Lonchura striata: one gene and its partner. The protein of the gene in region 1 interacts with the protein of each later gene in a pairwise test. Links are inferred from orthologs where the notes say so. Each region holds a gene or a part of one and is shown in the gene's direction. Other genes may lie near its edges.

What was found.
Region 2: the proteins of AQP1 (region 1) and RGS17 interact in binary tests that used the Homo sapiens proteins (3 or more experiments, as listed by UniProt). The two-hybrid records come from large-scale screens. The link is inferred for Lonchura striata from reciprocal best matches to the Homo sapiens genes AQP1 and RGS17.

The regions. Positions count from the first base shown.
Region 1 is NC_134603.1:153,508,498-153,517,868, forward strand, and holds the start of AQP1 (aquaporin-1), read left to right. Parts: upstream 1-4,926; 5' UTR 4,927-5,195; coding exon 5,196-5,585; intron 5,586-9,371. UniProt on the Homo sapiens protein: Forms a water channel that facilitates the transport of water across cell membranes, playing a crucial role in water homeostasis in various tissues.
Region 2 is NC_134605.1:56,032,285-56,042,337, forward strand, and holds the start of RGS17 (regulator of G-protein signaling 17), read left to right. Parts: upstream 1-5,860; 5' UTR 5,861-5,973; exon of another isoform or gene 5,974-6,050; intron 6,051-10,053. UniProt on the Homo sapiens protein: Regulates G protein-coupled receptor signaling cascades, including signaling via muscarinic acetylcholine receptor CHRM2 and dopamine receptor DRD2.

The DNA.
Region 1 (9,371 bases):
ATGGACTTGACTGTTTTGCCTGAATGCTTCTTCAAGAGGCTTTTCCACAGGAGATGCTTATTGGGAAATAAGATGTAGGTAGCAGAAACCCCACGCTGCTACAGCAGGGCATTGGTCAGGGATACAGGGAGGTAAGGACAGGCACGAGGGCAAGCAAGAGTCAGCAAAGTCAGGAGAACCAGAAGGCAGGCTGGGGTCAGGGCAAAGGAATGGAACAACTGTCACAGGGACCTTCTTCTTCCTTTCAGGACTTTTTGTAGAGCAGCACAGAGGAAAGAAAGAGAAAACAATTTCTATTTCTGCTCCTAGTTTTTCCCATGTGGAATGTGTTTGGAGAATTGTTTACCTGGGGTGATTGCTTGGTTGGATTCTGGTGAGGATTGTTGGAGCCTGATGGCAAATCCAATCCACCTGTGGCTGGACTCTCAGAGAGGGTCACAAGTTGTGAGTGAGTTAGATATGGTAGTTAGAAAAAATAGGTCTGTAGTTTTAGTATCTCCTTTAAATAGTATATAATGTATTGTAGTATAGTTATAATAAATAAATAAATAAACCTCCTTCTGAACTGGAGTCAGACATCATCATTTCTTCCTACTGGGTTCACCTGCATTTACAATACCCAACAAACAGCAGTGAGCCTCAGCGACAGTGGAGACCATTGGCCCAGTTCCAGCCTTTCTTTTCATTACCTGCTTGGAGAAGCCCCTCCACAGTGACTGCCTCATGTGAGGGGTTGCCAGGCTAAGCCTCCTCAGGGATGAGGCTTCCTCCACTCCTGGCTGCCCTCTTTAAGTGGCACCTGTACACACTTCCTCCCTCCCCGCTCGTGTCTCTGACACCCCTGACAGCCAGGGTTGAGACTAAATCAAAACCAAATTGGCTTATCACACAGGGAACAAGTCCAGCTGAGCAGCTCAGAAGAGAATTTTCATCATCTGGCATATGGAGCATGTGTGGGTGCTGAGGCTGGTTGGTAGTGAATTCCCTGGAGAGGGGGAAGTGTGTGAAATATTCCATCTTCCCCACATTTAGGAGCATTAAGTCAGAGATTCAGTCTGAAGCCCCTCCCAGTTTGCTCGCACTGACAGGTGTTGGTTGTGATCAGTCAGCTGCTGCAGAGAAATTTGCAAGCATCTCTACCTTGTCTCAATTTCCACTCTGTAGTTTTTACATCAGCAGCACGGAGAGGTTCTACTTCTAACCAGAAAGTGGATTGAGCCCAGAAAACAGCTCCTGAGCGTCACTGCAAATCTGTTTAAGTTTGTAATTGTTATTCTTACAGGAAACTCCACCTGTGAACTACAGCTTTCTGTATGTTTTCATTCTACCCATCATAGATGTGTAGAACCCTCAAACCCTTCCCATTTCTGAGATGTTTTAGGCAGGATACATGGATCCCCTGGCTCTTCCTTGCTCCATGGCTTTGCTGTCCTCTGTGCTGGTGAGAGTGGTGATGGCTCAGAGGGATGAAAGGTCCATGGGCAGAAGAGGAAATGTCTGTTGTCTCTGAAGCTGGAGGTAAAAAAGCTTTTCTTGAACTGCTGCTTGCCTGCTAAAAGGCTTGTCTGGCAAGGTCACAGAAAAATGAATTCTTCACAAGAGAGGAGTAATTGTATTTTGCTGAACTTCCCCTGGTTCTTTCAATCATTTGACTGCTGGACTTACGTTCATTCCTTCTGCCCTTCGACTTTGACTGTTCCTTCACCTAAGAGGGAAATTCCCAGAGATTTCTTGTTAGCCAAGACCAAATTTGAAGTCACTGACATTTGTTTCTTGTTAAAAAAGCAGAGATCCTGAGCAATCTGATGGGTGGGATCACAGAACAAAGCCTACAACTTCAACAAGTACATTTGTTTTCTGAATGAAACGTTAAGGGACATTTGTGCTATAGCCCTCCAAAATCTGATTTATTTCATGCAAAAAAGGAGTCAGCCCTGAGATCTTGGCAATGAAAAACCCATTCCTGTGAGCTTGATTTTTCGTTAAGCTGTCTCTAGTGCAACAAAATCAAAGAGAGGTTGGGAATACTCTGGTCTAAGTTGTCTGTGAAGAAACACCCCTTAGATAAAAAGTTCCTTTTTTCTTCTTGTTCCAAACAGATCTGTTCTTAATTGCCTGTCTCAAACACTGACATAAATTTGGCAATCATCTCTATTTCTAGAAAAATCCAAACTTCACCTTCAATTGTGGTGGATAAGCTAAAATCATGCCCAGAAAAGCTATCTGCACAAACCCCAGCTTATCTGGAATGCAGGAAATTGGATTTTGACCCTTTTTTGGGGCTTCTGGTGGTTTTGTGGTCTGAGTGTTCTTTGTTCACTTTACTAAGCACCGGGGTCTTTGCCATCAGCCTGAGTAACATGGGATGGAGCATGTTTTTTTGGAAAGGTGACGTAGTGTGTTGGGCACCAGTTAGATTTGTGTTGTGGTGGACATTTCTGAAGAAGTCCAACTGATGTATGGTTTCTCTACTCACATTTTCTCTCCCCTTTTTCCTTATTACACTCACACCATTGTGTAATTTAATTTTTCCACAATTCCCTCTATTTGTGCAGAATATTTGTTCTTTTGTTGCCATGCCTTTCTGTTTCCTCACTTGGTGGTTCTTCTATGTACAGGAAAAGTCTGTTTCTTTTATTTGTGTGTACTCCCTGTTGTTCTCTTTAATTTATTTCAGATTTTTTTTTTTTTCTGTCTGAATAACTATTTTGTTGAATCACTGTGGCACCAAGTTCCAAAATATAACAAGAGAGGTTGGTAACATTTATGAAAAGACAAATGGAGAGTCCCAGGATGAAAATGCAAACGTGAGGTGACCAGCAGGTTCAACAGCAAGGTGGTGCCCAACCTTCTCCTCTTGAGGTATATTTAATGTTAGTGTTGTTCACATGGAGTTCTGGCTTTCCTGGGGTCCTGTCTGTGGCACAGGCGAGTCAGGGACACTGAGAGGAAACTGCAGAAACCAGGGGAGCATTTTGCAATACTTCCCCAGTCTATTTTCCCACCTTCTGAAAGTTTTCCTTAGAGGGGTTCTTCCTCACCTTATCAGTACTGATACAGAGGTGGCTTGGTCATCCAGTTCCTAACTGTAGGAAGAGGTGAGTAAAGAGGGAGTTTCCTGTGGACGCTGGTGACTATTTGGGCAGCTCCATCCCATGGAGGCCAATTTTGGACACATGGAAACTCTTGCAAACTATTCACAAAGCTCTGCTGTCTCAGTTCCCTGAGGTGTGTGATGCATGTCCTGCCTGGGTCTTGGGCAGCCTCTTGGAAGGGCCAGGGAAGGTGATCACTGGAGATCTTTGTTTCAGATAATGTTTGCAGTAAATAAAAAGTTCCACTGATAGGATAAAACCACAATCAACTGTATCTTACATTAAAATTCCACTATGTCCCACTATTTGGCTAAATTTGATTTTTGATTTGTCTGTCACATTGTTCCTCATTGAAGACCCATTCTTTACTTTTTCCCTTTTCACTGGTACGGTCCTGTTGTGTAAGTGTATCATAAAACAAAAAGGAAATAAAATTTTCTATGTGAAAAATCAAGAACATCTGATGCCTAGGAAGAATAAGAACTTGGGTATGTCAAGCTGCAGACATCTGGGCTTTTATTTAAACTGTTTTCAGCTTTGTCACTGAATCATCTTTTGAAAACCAAATATATTTTAAAAAAATCCTTATTGGCTGTCTAATACCATCCAGGTGTGTATTTGATTTTTTCCTTCTTACTGCCATATTGTCCAAATGAAAAAGCCTTGAATTAATTTATGTACAATTCAGAAGATGTTACCAGTACATTAAAGAAAGAAGAGGAAAAAAAGTAGGCTGCTTTTAAACACCCATCCTTCAAGAGTTGTGCCTGGGGAATGACTTCCTGCCTCTGGAACAGATTTTCCTTGGTTTGAAGTCAGATCCCGGGATTTCCAGCTGGAGACACTCGCAGCTGCGGAGCGGGCAGGGATCCGAGAGCTCAGGGGTTAATCTGAGCCGTGTGTCCGAGCCCCACGGAGGTAAAGCCAAGCACTGAGACCTTTTGCTCCGAGAGGCTCTGGCACTGCCGGGAGGTTCATTTTGTCTGCAAAACCAAGCATGTAATTTCCCTTCTCCCTTGCTGTCCCCTCTGTCCCCTCTGTCTGGCCAGTCCTGTGGCTCAGCGGCAGCAGAGTCTCCCTGGAGACAGCCGGGACAGCTGAGCTGACCTTCAGCAGGGTGGTGAGAGATGCCTTTCCCTGCAGGACCTGGGCTAGGAAGCCCCCAAATTGGCTTTTTTCCTGCCACTCAGAAGGGGAAGGATGGGGAAAACCTGAGACGCCTCTGTGCTTGGAAGCAGAAAAGTGAAGAAATGACATAAATTAAAAAAAATAAATTACAAAAAATCATCAGCAGCATCCAAATTACATGCATTGAAAGCTTCCAGCTTACCACAGTTTTATGGCAGATTTACACAGAGATTAAAAATGATCCCTCATGAGTGAACACCAGCTCGTGTGAGCTGTGTAAATCCAAGTGTCCGTACAGCCGCCAGACTTGGCATCCAAAACATCTCCGAGTCCACAAAGCCAGCAGAAGGGACATTTCTACCTTTTTTTTCAAAATAAACAGAGCTACTGAAGCCTCTGGAGTGTGGATTTAGCTGTCAGTCTTATTTACTACTTTCAGCTGTTATCTGCTGCCGCTGAAGCCGAGCGTGAACAACTTACCCGCCTGCACTGATAACTTTGCTTTCTGTTTCAGCTCCAGACAGAAATCCCATCAAAGCTTTCATTCCGATCCACGCGCTGAAAGATGACACAGGAGTTAAAGAAGTGAGGCTGAAATTCCTAAGGCTCTCCTAAAGATTTTTCCAAGAATTTTAAAAAGCCTCTTAAAAACGGCGGCAGAGATCGAATGCTGTTAAGGGAGGGGAAAAGAAAAAAAAAAAAAAAAAAAAAAAAAGGAAGAAAAAAACTTTGGCAGGCAAACAGTGTCTTACATCAATCTAGCAGTCAGCATCTATGTAGATGTTCTTTCCTCCTTTTGTGCAACACCCCTTCCCTCCTACAGACCACCCAAAGCCCTATAAATAATCCAAGGACTGTATTTTTCCTCCAGATTTCTCTTCAGACCTCAAAGGGAAAATATCAGGCAAAGGAAGGGAGAGAGGGAGAAGGAAAAGTGAGGAGGGGAGAGAGAGAGAGAGAGAAAGAGGAAAGATGGCTAGTGAATTCAGAAAGAAAATATTCTGGAGGGCAGTGGTGGCCGAGTTCTTGGCCATGAGCCTTTTCATTTTTATCAGCATTGGCTCGGCTCTGGGCTTCAACTTCCCCGTGGTGGCCAACAAAACATCAACGAGGTCCCAGGACAACGTGAAGGTTTCCCTGGCTTTTGGGTTATCCATCGCTACCATGGCGCAGAGCGTGGGCCACATCAGCGGGGCGCACCTGAACCCCGCTGTCACCCTGGGGCTGCTGCTCAGCTGCCAGATCAGCATCTTCAAGGCGCTCATGTACATCCTCGCCCAGTGCCTGGGGGCAGTGGTGGCCACAGCCATTCTCTCCGGAGTCACCTCCTCTCTCCCAGGAAACTCCCTGGGGCTTAATGCTGTAAGTAGAAACTTTGAATTCCTCCTTTATTTTCTTTTTATTTTAGAGTAGAAATGTAGCAGCTGTCATCTGCTAAAGATGTGGGGGTTCTGCTGGTGTTGGTGACCTTGGAGAGCCCGACTGTTTATTGTAGGAGAGAATCCAGTCCTGGCTGATAACCAGGATGTCACAGGGATGGTCCTTCCTCCCCACCCTCATGTTGGAGCTTTAGGACATTCTGGTCATGATCAGTTGTGCTTATGTTCAGTTTTGTACATCCAAGTTGCTGCAAGGTGGTTTTTGATGCCAATTTAACACTGAATTGACTGACAGCTTTACGACCTTTCATGGTTCTGAGGGTCTCTAAGGTGACATGTTGATTAATGTGCATACACCAGTGTTGTTTTGGCTTCTGTGAGTGTGGTTCATTTTCAGTACTTAATTAATGGTTTGTGTATACTGGTGACGGCTGCAGTGAAAACTCTTGGGAGCAGAGAGGTGTGCAGCAAGAGAAATCCCATCCCCAAAGGTGTGGGCAGTACCTGTTGCATTAGGCAGAGTGCTCAGATCCTGCTTGTCAGAATCCCAGCTGGCCTTTCTGTGCATTTCTGGGAAAAAATTGGACAAATCCTGAATTGTCATGTGTAAACTGGAGGAAAATGTGAGGCAGCTACAGGTAACTGGGGTGCAGGTTCCAGCTCTCTCCCAGCCAGATGCTCACATCATTCTGCCTAAAAACTGCCTGGCCACAACTCCTCCTTAAAATGTCATTTTGCTGTTGTTGTTGCAGGATAATAGGAGAAAAAAAAAAAAAAGGTAAATACACTTTTAAACTTGAAATCATCCCACTGTCAGAGGCAGTGCTACAGCCACCGCAGGACACACAGTGCTATAAATGGAAATTCCTCCTGGTCACTTACTTGACCTGATCTCTTAAGAACAAGTATTTCACATATTTTCCTTGGCCCCTTTCTTTCAGAATATTCCTGACTGCAGTTTGTAAATTGAGCTAATTTGAAATCTTCTGCCCATTTGCATTCATAGGGGTATTTGGGACATAAAGCTGCAAATGCAACATCTCTTCTGAAATAACTTAGGCAAAAGAGCAATATGGCTTTACATATTGTAATTTGACATTGCAGTTAATTGAGAACATGAGTCAAGTTTTCAAAACAGAATAAAATCTGATATTAAGGTGATTCCTGGGCAGCTCAGTATCATCCACCCTTGTGTTTCTCTGTGAGTTGGCTGCTCACCTCCCTCTCTCCTGGTGCCTGCAGCTATTCCATCCTGCCAGCGCTTTGGAAATTTTGATGGGTTAACTCAAAACATTTTGGGGAAGAAGAGCAAATAATTTTATTGATTCCAGAAGGCTCTGGCTGCGAGAATGATACATGATCTTTTCCTCTGAAACCACTGACAGAGGGAACAGCTCAACCACATGGGACAGGGTGTCCGCCCAAGTGGTTTCCTCGAGAGGTCCAACTGCCATTAAACACGGGAGGTCTGGTTTTGGTAGCACTTAAGCTTGGTTTTTCCCTTTTGCTTCCATAAAATCCTGATGACTGGTTCCTTCCTCTAACCAAAGCACTAAACCTGGCCATTTGTGAAGGGGGGTGAAGCTCTTCTTGCCCCTCTGTCAGTAACTCCTCAAACTACAAAAGCAAAACCAGGCAGGGATAAGTCTCCATCATATAAATTTTACAAATCGATCAGCAATTTCTGTGCAATGGAATAACACGAAATATAGTTTCTAAAAGCTCTGGTCTCACTGCTTGTCATTGGGAAATATTCAGAATTTTCTTTCTTTTTCCTTTCACATCCACTTATAAATGTTCTGGCTGGAGGAGCAGTGGGGAGATGCCCCTGGGGATAGTGAGGGCAGCAGCTGTTCTGCCTTGTGAGAGAAAGATAGGGAGGAAAGGAAAGGAAAGGAAAGGAAAGGAAAGGAAAGGAAAGGAAAGGAAAGGAAAGGAAAGGAAAGGAAAGGAAAGGAAAGGAAAGGAAAGGAAAGGAAAGGAAAGGAAAGGAAAGGAAAGGAAAGGAAAGGAAAGGAAAGGAAAGGAAAGGAAAGGAAAGGAAAGGAAAGGAAAGGAAAGGAAAGGAAAGAAAGGAAAGGAAAGGAAAGGAAAGGAAAGGAAAGGAAAGGAAAGGAAAGGAAAGGAAAGGAAAGGAAAGGAAAGGAAAGGAAAGGAAAGGAAAGGAAAGGAAAGGAAAGGAAAGGAAAGGAAAGGAAAGGAAGGAAAGGAAAGGAAAGGAAAGGAAAGGAAAGGAAAGGAAAGGAAAGGAAAGGAAAGGAAAGGAAAGGAAAGGAAAGGAAAGGAAAGGAAAGGAAAGGAAAGGAAAGGAAAGGAAAGGAAAGGGAAAGGGGAAAGGGGAAAGGGGAAAGGAAGGAAATAATTTCCCAGTGACAAGCCTGGAGTGCCTGGGGAGGGGAGGGCTGAGAGGGAACTGGGTTTGAGCCCAAAGTATGGGGGAGCAGGAGCAGAGGGGCTGTGCTCATGCAGAGTCCACCTCAATGGGGCATATCCTGAAACCACAGCACTAGAGGTCCTCCTTCAACAATGATCCGGCAAGGAGAAACCATAGAGCTTCTTTTATTGTTATGATTTGTAACCTGAGGACAAGAAGGGGAGGCTCAGAGCTGGCATCCCTGCCAGCTGCTCTGTCTTCTGGACCTTCTTGTGGGTAACGAGGTGTGGATTCCCTGCTCAGAAAAAAAATAGAAAGGAAGAGAGTGCTGCTTGTTTGGCATGGTTGGGAAGAGGGTCCGGATGTGTGTGTCTTTGTCCTCTGTTCTGACCCTGCTGTGCTCTTGGAGAGGTGTTTTTTACAGGAAAAATGTGGTGGGGGCAGTGTAATGGAGTGAGTGTCCATCCAGTGTTCCCAGTGGATCCTGGGTGGGATTGCATGCCTGACCTTGGATTTCTCCTGCCTGGCTGCAGGTCCTGCACTGAGGGACCAAGCTGAGAACCCCTTTCCACTGTCTTCTCTCTGATCCACAGAGAATGAGAGACAAAGAGAGGCACTTCAACCTTCAGATCTGTTCAGTTGCTCCCAGAGACACCCAGCTGCTCTTTGCCATACTGAGGCTCCAGGCTTGGAAGCCTCTGCTAAGAATCCAAAATTAAGTGGGATAAATCTGTGTCTTTCTCATTGCACAAAGGGAAGAAAGGAAACGCAACCAAATGAAGCACAAAACCCAGACATGGACAGTGCAAGGCTGAGGAGAAAGAAGGAAGAATGAAAATGCAGGATGTTCCTTTAACGTGTTCAGTATTAAGGTCTGGTTTACACTAAGACAAGCAAACCAGTCACACAATAGCATTTTGATCCAAACTTTGCTTAAGTCAACAGACATATTTTTAGTTACTTTGGCTAGTCCCACGTAAGACATTTTGGACAGCACTCAGAGATGTATTTAGATTACTAAATCCTTTTAAGACACTTAACTTACAATATATTTTAGTAGTGGTGTGGGTTCCAAAGTAAAACTTTGAGAATTGGAGAAGCTGGAAGAGGAGTATGTAGTGTGTTTGCCCTTCTAAAAATTTAAATATTTTTCCTTACATCATCTTGTATCTTTTTTTTGGAAGTTGGACTACTACACATTACGAATTTCCATTAGGTAAAGCTGCAAGAATAGAGAATGTGAGATCCAAAATGCACTCATCTGCCAGCAGAGCTGGCTATTGTCTGGTGAGGACAGATCTGGAGTTTGGATAATGGAACAAACTACTCAGCACAGGCAGTTAATGACCAACAAAGAGCTCAAGTAGGAAAGAGGGGAGAGAAGAGACTTCTGTG
Region 2 (10,053 bases), on another chromosome or scaffold:
AACTCCTCTCAAACCTCCTGTCATCCTGTGGCGATGACTGACAGAGTAATACACCATTCATAAAACAGGAAACTGCTCACCCTGCTCCTTTGAGTGTATAATAAAACTTCTGAGGCTGAGAGCTGTAAAACCTGCCTTACAGAGTGCTGAGGAAAGTCTCAGCCACAGATCAGACCCTCACCACCCTGCCACCAGCTGCATAGCATAGGTAGAAATATACAGGATTAAAAACACATAAATTTCAAAAGCTTCATGTTAAACAACTTTTAAAGATATACCCTGACCTTTTCTTTCCATAACATAAATCATTACCATGGTATATCATGGTTTTTCTCCTTCAAAAAAAAATTCTTGATTCTCTTAGAAACTCCAAGTAGTCACCTATACGTGCTCCCAATCCTAAGTCTTGCTGCTACCAACTTTGGAAGAGGAATTAAATACATTTCTTAAAATAAATGGGTTCATTTAATTACTAGACATAAAATTAATTTCTTCACATTACACTGAGCACATTGCCTGGTCTTATAATAGAGACATCACCCTCTCACAAATAACAAAACCAATTTTATTGCAACACATCTACCTTGTTCCATATTTAGTTTTAATTCTCTACCTGAAATATTTGCCTCTTTTAAGAGATGGATTTGTATTCACCCATGTTCTGTGGTTTCAAATGCTCAGAGTTTTTAAGTCAAACCATAACATATTGAATTTCAGCAGTATAAGTTCCTATAGGCACTCTTGTGCTATGAGTTGCAGGGGATTTGGGACTTTTTAAATACTATTATTTATACTCTGACTTTTAGCTTCACCTTAACTAAGATTTTCACGGAAATATGAAGCAGGCCAATTAAGTTAAAAATATATAAAGCACAAGTCTTTGAGATTTCATTTTACCTTCAGAAAAATATATGACACTATAAACTAAATAAAATACAATGAAAATTGTGAAAGCAATCAATGTGCTATTTTTACAAAACTTCCTAAGTATGGAATTACCACTAAATCTCTACATAAGTCTCATTTGCTGAGAACAAGCATGTACTTAAAGACTTTCTTGACTCAAGATCAATTTTTAAAAGTAATCATTTACTAATAAAAAACAACGTTTTAGGGATATCACATTACAATAATCCCATTACTTATAAAGGTAGGGATGATACCGTGAATGTCAACATTGAAAAGAAACATTAAAGAGTTTGTGGGTCAGCAAGCTAACTAAAAACTAGCATGTCATTGTTTAACCTTAATCTTGGTAATTTATTGTGAATTTGCCAAAATTAATGACCTTGGGATTATCAATCATTAGAAACAGACATATTCCAAATACTTCATGCTAAATATAATTTCTTGAAAGATACAAGCGGAGTTTATGACTCCTAGTCTTAAAATCTTATTGTTGGTCCTTTCTGTTCAGTGAAGCGAAAAGTTTTGCTGAAGAGCGCAAAGATCAGCTGGTTGCTGAAGTAAATCTCCATCTCCTGCTTCTGTGCAATGTAACATTTTTAAATCTGCTCACTCTAGCTGTTAAAGGAATGAAATACATTCAGCTCTAGGAATGGTGCTAGGAATCTTTGCCTAGCTTGCAATGAAATAATATATTTGGTGAAATGATAAAATGATAGCACTTTACTACTGAGCTGTGATGAAGAGACCACCAGGGTAGCCCAAGCCCATATGAAGTCATCTCAAGCAATACATCTACAGCTCAGTTTGGTTTAGTAGCAGTGACATTTTTCTTCTCAGTCAACAGACTTTTGGTTTTGGTGCCTTTTGGCACATAATACCAGCCTTTGAAGCACTGATTGCTCAGCCAAAGTTAACAGAAACAGCTGCAAAACAAGATGCCATTATCTCTGGGTCTTGCTCTGAGTAAGCTACAAGAGCACTGCCATCTGTAAAGAGCAGTTCTTTAATAAGGGGACTTCTGAAGCTTTTGTTTCTGCATACAAACAAGCCAATTATAAATGTCGCTTGGGGAAATCTAAAAGTGGACTGTCAGAGACAGACTCTGTGTTTGCTCAATTTGCTGCTACTGAAAAAAAATATCTCCCTACTACTGAGATGCTGTAGCTCTAATCACATTTACAAGGGAGCTTTCCATCCAAAGAACCAACTGAAGATGATAATTTCTTCAACTCATTTGCTTTGGGGCAAAGAAGAGTTAGGTGTGGGGGTTGGTGGCTGTTCTTTTTTTTTTTTTTTTTTTAATTTTTATAGTTTTATGTATAGCAACACAGAAAGGTCTATTTAATTCTTTAAATGCATCTTAATAGTGTCAAGTAGCTTTAGACAGCCTGAGAGTTATTAAAAACTCCACAACTGAAAAAGGACCATGGTATTACACAGACATAAATAAGAAGAATTCAAGATTCTTTTTTTTTGCATGAAGTAGACCGTAAATACACATAAATACATCTCTGTAACTGCAGGTCATTTTCCTGACCCATTTCCCAGATGATACTACAAGTGTAAGTGTCTTTAAGCTGTTACAGTACTGGTGCTTACAGAGAAAAAAGAAGTATATGATCTATGTTTGAAACACATTTTAAATATTTCATTTTGCATCACATTGAAGTCATGCTGGGGTCACAAAAGAAGATTATTGCTTTATGATCAAGATTAGGTCTTCAACTATTGAGTTGTTTTAATGTTAGCCTTTGATTTCTTTTATGTTGAAGATATGCAGGGAATACTATTAACTAACTGTAATCTTGAGGAGTTCACGACCATAACAAGTTTTAAATGTCTGCATTTCTGCAGGTAGAATATGGAGTTGGCTGAAATTATATAGTCAACTAACAATAGTGTAGATTTGATACTGGAAAATAAGGAACCTAGCTTCACGCCCATTAAATTCAATAGGAATTTTACACACATTTAACCTCACGATGTTAAAGTAAAATGATTTTGTTCAATTTATTTGGAGTCTTTGTTCCAGATGACCTTCTCAAGTACATGTTATAGTTTTTCACATGTTCTTTTATAATACATTTCTCCATTTATTTTCCTTTTGTCAAAACACAGTGAAGTTTTTTTGGAAGAACAATGCAAATAGGTTTTATTTCATAAAAAAAAAAAAAAATGGTAATAAGGAAACCATGTGGATTAAGAAATGCAAAGAAGCATGGAACAAAACCCATAAACCAGGAAGACAGGATTGAAAGGCCTGGAAGAAAAAGTCATTGAGAGCAATTGCAGGGCTCTAAAGTAGGCACAAAGATTAGGCAGTGGCCAGAACACAGCAGCTAAACAGCTATTGAAAGGAAGTGGGTTTATAAACAGGAGCTCAAGCAAAAACAAGGAATGGCTTCAGTGCAGGAAACTATGGTAAATAGGAATGGCTTGTTCAGAGCTGTGGGAAACATTAAGAGAGTAATAAAAAGCAGAAGTCTTTTATTAATTTAAACATTTTAAGCACAGCATTTTAAAACTTGTAGAATTTTATATTTTTCTGATATAGAGATAAAATTATTTTACTTCAATTCTACCCATTACTGTCTCCCTTTTCAGTTGAACATCTCTATGTAGCTCCTAAATCTGTAGAAGACACTTGCTTTGATTGGTTTCAGAGTTTTTGTCAGAGTGGAGCCATCTTCCTAATATTAAGCAGGCATGAAGGCTCATATTCTTTACTGAATGTCATTAAGCTTCAACATATGAGTTTGAAGTTAAACAACTCTTATTTCCTAAATATGGAGGTTTTTCCTTATTGAGGCCGTAGAAGAGCTGTGGGGCTCTTTAAAGCTTTAGATAGTCAATAAAGATTTTAAGCATTGCAATTAACTTATAAAAACACTGTTAATGCTTCAGAGATACATTTTATCCTTTACAATACTCTTTTCAGCACTGTTTCTAGAGATAGGGAATATAACTTAGATTTCCATAAGCACTACCAAATTGCCATGCCAATAACCTTTGGTAATCAGGCAGAGTTGTAGCTTGCAGTTCAAGGACTTTTTCTCCACAAGGATCAAGATCAGAAGAAAAGAGAAGTCATGATTTTATGGGGAGAGACTTTCAGGGAGATTACATTGACTTTAGTCCTTGTGAGATTCAGAATCTGAAGCTTCTATCCCAGAAGACAAAAAGTAAGCCAGACAACCATGGCTGCTACTGTCATGTTTTAAGTTAGTTGTGTTTTGAATACAGATTCCTGAGAGCCGAGCTTGTTTTGATGTGCCTGTGCTCTTGCAGCTATCATGGAAGCTAGCCCTTCTGGATTGTTTTCAATCCTTTTAATTTCAGCCCTACTAACATATGTGTGATTTTGGCTTCAGTTTTTGTAGCACTCCACTTTGGGCTCTAGATGAGATAGAAAGGCATGTTGACCGCTTTTGCAAAGAGAATTGGTACACATTGATGGCAAGCCACTGAAACACCTTAATGCAGCCTTGTGTCTTTTGTACCACCCTGCCAGACTGTTTTAGTGAAGTGGTAAATGTAGTAATGCATCCTCTCCTGAGATATTAACATTTCTGGATTAATGTCATGATTTGACAGGATCGAGATGCCAAATATGTATTTTTCCAGTGCTGTTATCTGGAGATATATCAGGCTCCCCATTTCTAAGGTGCAGAAGGAAAGCTAAACAACATTCTCTATTGAGCCAAAATTTGTAAAAAAGATGGGACAAACTAAGTAACAAAACCTGTCAGGATTCAGGATTCACAGTCAGATTTCCAGAGCATCCTGATTTTGAGTCTCATGGTTGACATCGACAGATCCATGCAGATCCACTCTGGTTCTTTCTTCCAGAAATTGTGCTTCAGATGCCCAACTTCAAAAAGTTACTTGGCCACTAAATCGCTGCCTCTCCCTTGGCTTCAGAGGATAATGAAGTGCTGGATAGTGGTTTATGGAATTTTATTTTTTTAAATCTATTTGGACATGCCGATGTGGGGGCCAAAGTGAAAACAAAACCGCAGCCCAGCACCTCTAGCGCTTCACTGCTCAGCAGGGCGACGTGTCTCTCCCGCCGTCACACGCTGCCAGCCCACGAGCGGGGATGCTGCCGCTCCGCCGCCTGCGGAGACCCGCGCCGCTGGCAGCCGGGGGAGCGTCCCTGCAGCGGCGGCGGCGCCCGGCCGGGCGGGGCGGGGCGGGGCGGGGCGGGGTGCTGCCGGTCCGGGCCGGGCCGGGCGGGGCGGGGCGGGGCGCGGCGCTGCCGGGCCGGGCCGGGCCGGGCCGGGCGGGGCGGGGCGGGGCGCGGCGCTGCCGGGCCGGGCGGGGCGGGGCGGGGCGGGGCGCGGCGCTGCCGGGCCGGGCCGGGCCGGGCGGGGCGGGGCGCGGCGGGGCGCGGCGCTGCCGGGCCGGGCGGGGCGGGGCGCGGCGGGGCGCGGCGCTGCCGGGCCGGGCGGGGCGGGGCGCGGCGGGGCGCGGCGCTGCCGGGCCGGGCCGGGCCGGGCGGGGCGGGGCGCGGCGCTGCCGGGCCGGGCCGGGCCGGGCGGGGCGGGGCGGGGCGCTGCCGGGCCGGGCCGGGCCGGGCGGGGCGGGGCGGGGCGCTGCCGGGCCGGGCCGGGCGGGGCGGGGCGGGGCGCTGCCGGGCCGGGCCGGGCCGGGCCGGGCGGGGCGGGGCGGGGCGCTGCCGGGCCGGGCCGGGCCGTGACTCACCCGCCGGGCGAGCGGGGAACTCCCGCTGCCGCCGGGCTCCGCCGCCGCCGGCAGAGCGCATGTGCGGGGGCTCCCTGCTCCGCGCCGCTCCTCGCACCCTCCCGCCCTCTCTTCCTCTCCGCCGCCCTCCCTCCTTCCCTCTCCCTCCCTCCCTCCCTCCCTCTCTCCCCCTCTCTCGCTGCCCCCTCCCTCCCTTCCTCCCTCCCTGCCCGCCTGCCTGCCGCCGCCTCCCTCCCTCTCCCCGCCGGCTGGGTGCTGAAGTTGGGCGGATGGCAGCGAAGCAGCTGCGCTAGGGGACGAGCAGCACCAGCCCTTCCCGGGATCGCTCAGCGCCAACTGCACGCAGCCGGGCGGGGGTGGGTAAGGCTCTCCGCGCTCATTTCAGCCTGAACCGTGATAAACGGCACCAAAATGTCTGCTTTATAGTGATGCAAAGGGTGTGTGTGTGGGGAAAGCCATACCGACCAAAGGGAGGGATGTGGAAGGGGGAGGGGGGTGAGGGGGAAGAGGAAAAGGAAGGAGGGAGATGGATGGATGGATGCATGGATGGATGGATGGATGGATGGATGGCGGGCGGTAGAGCGCAACAGAAAATGTATTCACCGGGGTGACAGGGTGTGTGTAAACGTGCCTGTGTGTGTGTAACAACGGGCGGCTTCGGCGCCGAGGTTGCAAGGTGGAGTGTCTGTGTGTGTCTGTGTCTGTGTGTGCGTGTGTGTGCGTGTGTGTGCGTGTGTATGTGTGTATGTCCTGCCCGCGATGCACAAAGGGGTGGGAAGAGGTGTCGCCGGGCTCTACCCGCGCCCCCAATCTCCGCCGCTCCCCGGTTTGTGTTGGGGGTGCCGCGGGGCATTCGCCGCGCCGGGCGATGCTGCTCAGCCCGAGCAGGGGAGGGATCGGGCCGCTCCCGGGGAAGCCGGGGACACGGGCTAGCGGTGTGACAGCCGCCAGATCGGAGGCGAGACAGCGCTCCTCCTGTCTTTCCTCTTGACCTTCCACTGCCTGTAACGTGGGTCTCCTTCGCGCGAGGAGAGGTGGTGTAATTTTTATTATTATTGTTGTTGTTGTTGTTTCAATCCGAGGAGCCGGCAGACGGTGAGGGTGAACAAGCGAGTCGTTGCTCTAAGATCAGGAGTTGCTTTCCCATCCCTCCTTCCCTCTGCCCCCTTTCCCGGCTGCCCCTCCTGGCCGGCCGCACCGGGGCCGGGGAACCCCCGCGGGCAGCGGCCGCGGAGCCCCGGGCGGCACCCAGCCTCCCCCGCCCGCCGTACCCTGCGGCACGGCCATCCCTCTGCCCCGGCCTCCTTCCCGCCCCTCCCCTGGAGATGTCGCGGGCGGGGGCCGCGGGAGGAGCAGGTGGCCGGGCGCGGCCGGCGGGGCAGGGATGCTCCCGGTGCGCCGTGCCCGGCCCCGAGCGGAGCGGGGCTTCCCTGCGCCGCTGGGGAAACACCCGCCGCCGCCGCGCTCGGTGCGGCGGGGATGCGGAGCCGCTGCCCGGCGCCCGAGACCCGCCGTGTGCTGCTCCTGCGGGGCTGCGCCTCTCCTCGGGATGAAGCCGCTCGCAATTAAGAATGCCGAGGTTGCCTCGCTCGCTCGGCTGCCAACCTAACATTCATCTCTATCTCTTCTTGTTGATGTAGAAAGAAACCTTACTGTTGCTGTCAGGCTTAGAAGCAGCAGGGGTGAAATTTATGGTTTTCAGTATTTGGTTTCTTTCATGTCTGTATCTGGATTTTCACCAATGTGTGACATAGGTGGCAGCCAGATGCTTTTGCAAAATGGATGAAATCTGAAATACCTTTCTAGGTAAATATAAGTAAGTTACATATTGGCTGGCAATACTATTATGGGTAACTGGTGAAAAATACCTTCCTATAAATGTAATATTCGTGCATTACAAATATAAAGGAAGTTGATTCCTTTTCACATCAGTTGATGCTAGTGTCATCATTCTTACATAAATCACTGGGAAATTTACCTGTGGCATAAGCCATTTAGGCAAACATACTATTTAACCCTTATAGAAAAACAGTGTTATGCACTGTTATCAGATATATATTTTGTTTCTAGCTCATACCCAGAAAAAGCAAAATCCTATTAAAAGATGAGTGAGCCCCACCCCAGTAAGTTTATGGCCTAAAATGCAAATGGTATGATACACTCAAGTACTCACCTCCCTGAAATAACGTATTAAAGCATTTAAATGCCTTTCTCCATCAAGGCCTTAGATCCTTTTAAGTAGCCAAAATAAGAACATAATTTAATTAAAAGAATACGATCAAATAAATTGCTATAGTGAGTTGAACATCTAGTCCAATATCCTGGCTCTGACTACAGCCATTAGCAGATGCTGAAGGAGAAAAACGTAAGAAACAGGACTGGCATACAGGGATCTTTTCCTGGCATATCCTTTCAAGTTTCAGCAACACACAGAACATGGATTTCTTAAACTGGAGTTTGCTCTCTGACCATCATGTATAATAAACTTTGAGTTTTCCTACTCCCTTTAAAAAAATCTGTTTATGCTTTATTCTCAACCTGCTTCTGTAGCAATGAGCACCACAATTTAATTATGATTTGTGTGAAAAGGTACTTCCTTTTGTTTGCTATGAACCTGCTGCCTGGTAATTTCGCTCAGTGCTCCTGAGCTGACAAGGAGCACATATTGTGTCTATGTAAGGTGCCAGGAGTGTCCTCTCAAACCAGAGCAGGTACAGCCCTGGCAGGTCAGGTCCGTTCATTTTACCTATCACCAAGCTGAGAGGCCTGCCCAGGAGTGTGAAACTGTACTCAGCCCTTATATGATGTCTTATCTTGACATCTACAGATAAGGATAATTATTCTTCTTCTTGTTATGCAACATGGACACTTATGCACAAAATATTTGTTTCAAGAAGGCTACTGAAAAGCTGTCTGTTGAAAAAATACTCCCTCCACTATTGATTTGAATTGAAATCTGACTGACAGCTTGGTGAAAAATTCCCTATCCCAATGCAGTTTTCTACCTACCCTGAAAAAAAGATGAAATATTTTATTCTTAATTTCAACTCTTATTTTTAATAACTATATTAAATACAAAATGAAAACTATATATCAAGGACATATATGTATGTATGTGTATATATATTATATATATAAACTCTGTGCATTTGAAGTAGCATCATTTTCTAATTGTTCTGTGTAATGTTCATTATAAGGATGTGCATCAACATGCAGTTTCAAAAGGAAAGTATAAATGTCCCATAAAATGTAGCTGATTTGTAAGGAGCTATAAAACAAATTCTTCTTCAGAAGAGTACTCCTGAGTTCAGTCCTGCTTGAGGAGGTATTGATCAGATCAACATTGCAGAATACTTCCCTGATCTCAGTGGTAGCCACTCTTTGATTTTGTCATAAGAATAATAAAGGAATAAGAGACCAGACAACTACAAAACACAACCCAGACCCAAAGGCACAGAAGTTGTGTCTTTACAGTTTTAATTTGGCAGCAGACACTACTTGGAGCAACACAATACACAGCAGAACGTGATGAAGTAGAGAAGGGTAGAAACCCATGAGTTGTGAAATTCTTCACAAAAAATAAAATGCTTGAAATCTCAGATGTGTTAATCTCCATCTCCCAAATGACTAAAAGAAGGAGAGGCTCAGTGGTATTGTTATGGGGACAGGATAGGAGGAATGTCAGCCAGTCTCAGACTTAAGCCAGTCTCAGACATGATTTTCTACTTACAAGTAGTGTATGTGTGTCTGTATGTGTATATGTAGCAAAACACACATATATGTAGATACATATGTAGATATATATATGGTATATACATTTTTATTCACTAAAAATACACTATCCTAAACAAATTTTACAATCATAGTACTTTTAAGTAGCACTTTCTTGCTTGTTTTCTTCGCATGCATGCCTTTAAGTATGAACATATGGAGATTCTTAGGAATACACCAGAAGTGTAACTAAGTGAAACAGTATTAGCTCTTACAGAGATGTTCATTACTGTTCCATTAGCTCCCTCCTGATCATCTCTTCATGATGTCAGGCATTTATTTTGCACTTGTACCAAGATTTCAGTTTTTCTAGTGAAAATATATCCCTACCATACTATTAGTGCCTATTCTGTGAATACCAGATGAACATAAAATTCATGTGCTAATTGGTCTGAGCTAAAATTCATTAAAAACTAAATCCTTCACAAAATTTTGTATTTCTATTGACATACCCTTTTGCTCTAAGTAGTTTTTATAATTAAATTATGCAATCAAATTTTCCATACCATTAATTAATTAAAAGCTTGTGCATAAGGTATAAAAACAAATGAATAGATTAAGTTGTAATTAAGTTTATCTATTTGTGGTTACAGCTAATGGCTATAGCTATACAGGCTGTAAGTAGAGTTGTGTGAATAGCTTTGCTGCTGACTCCTGGGTGTCCACTGA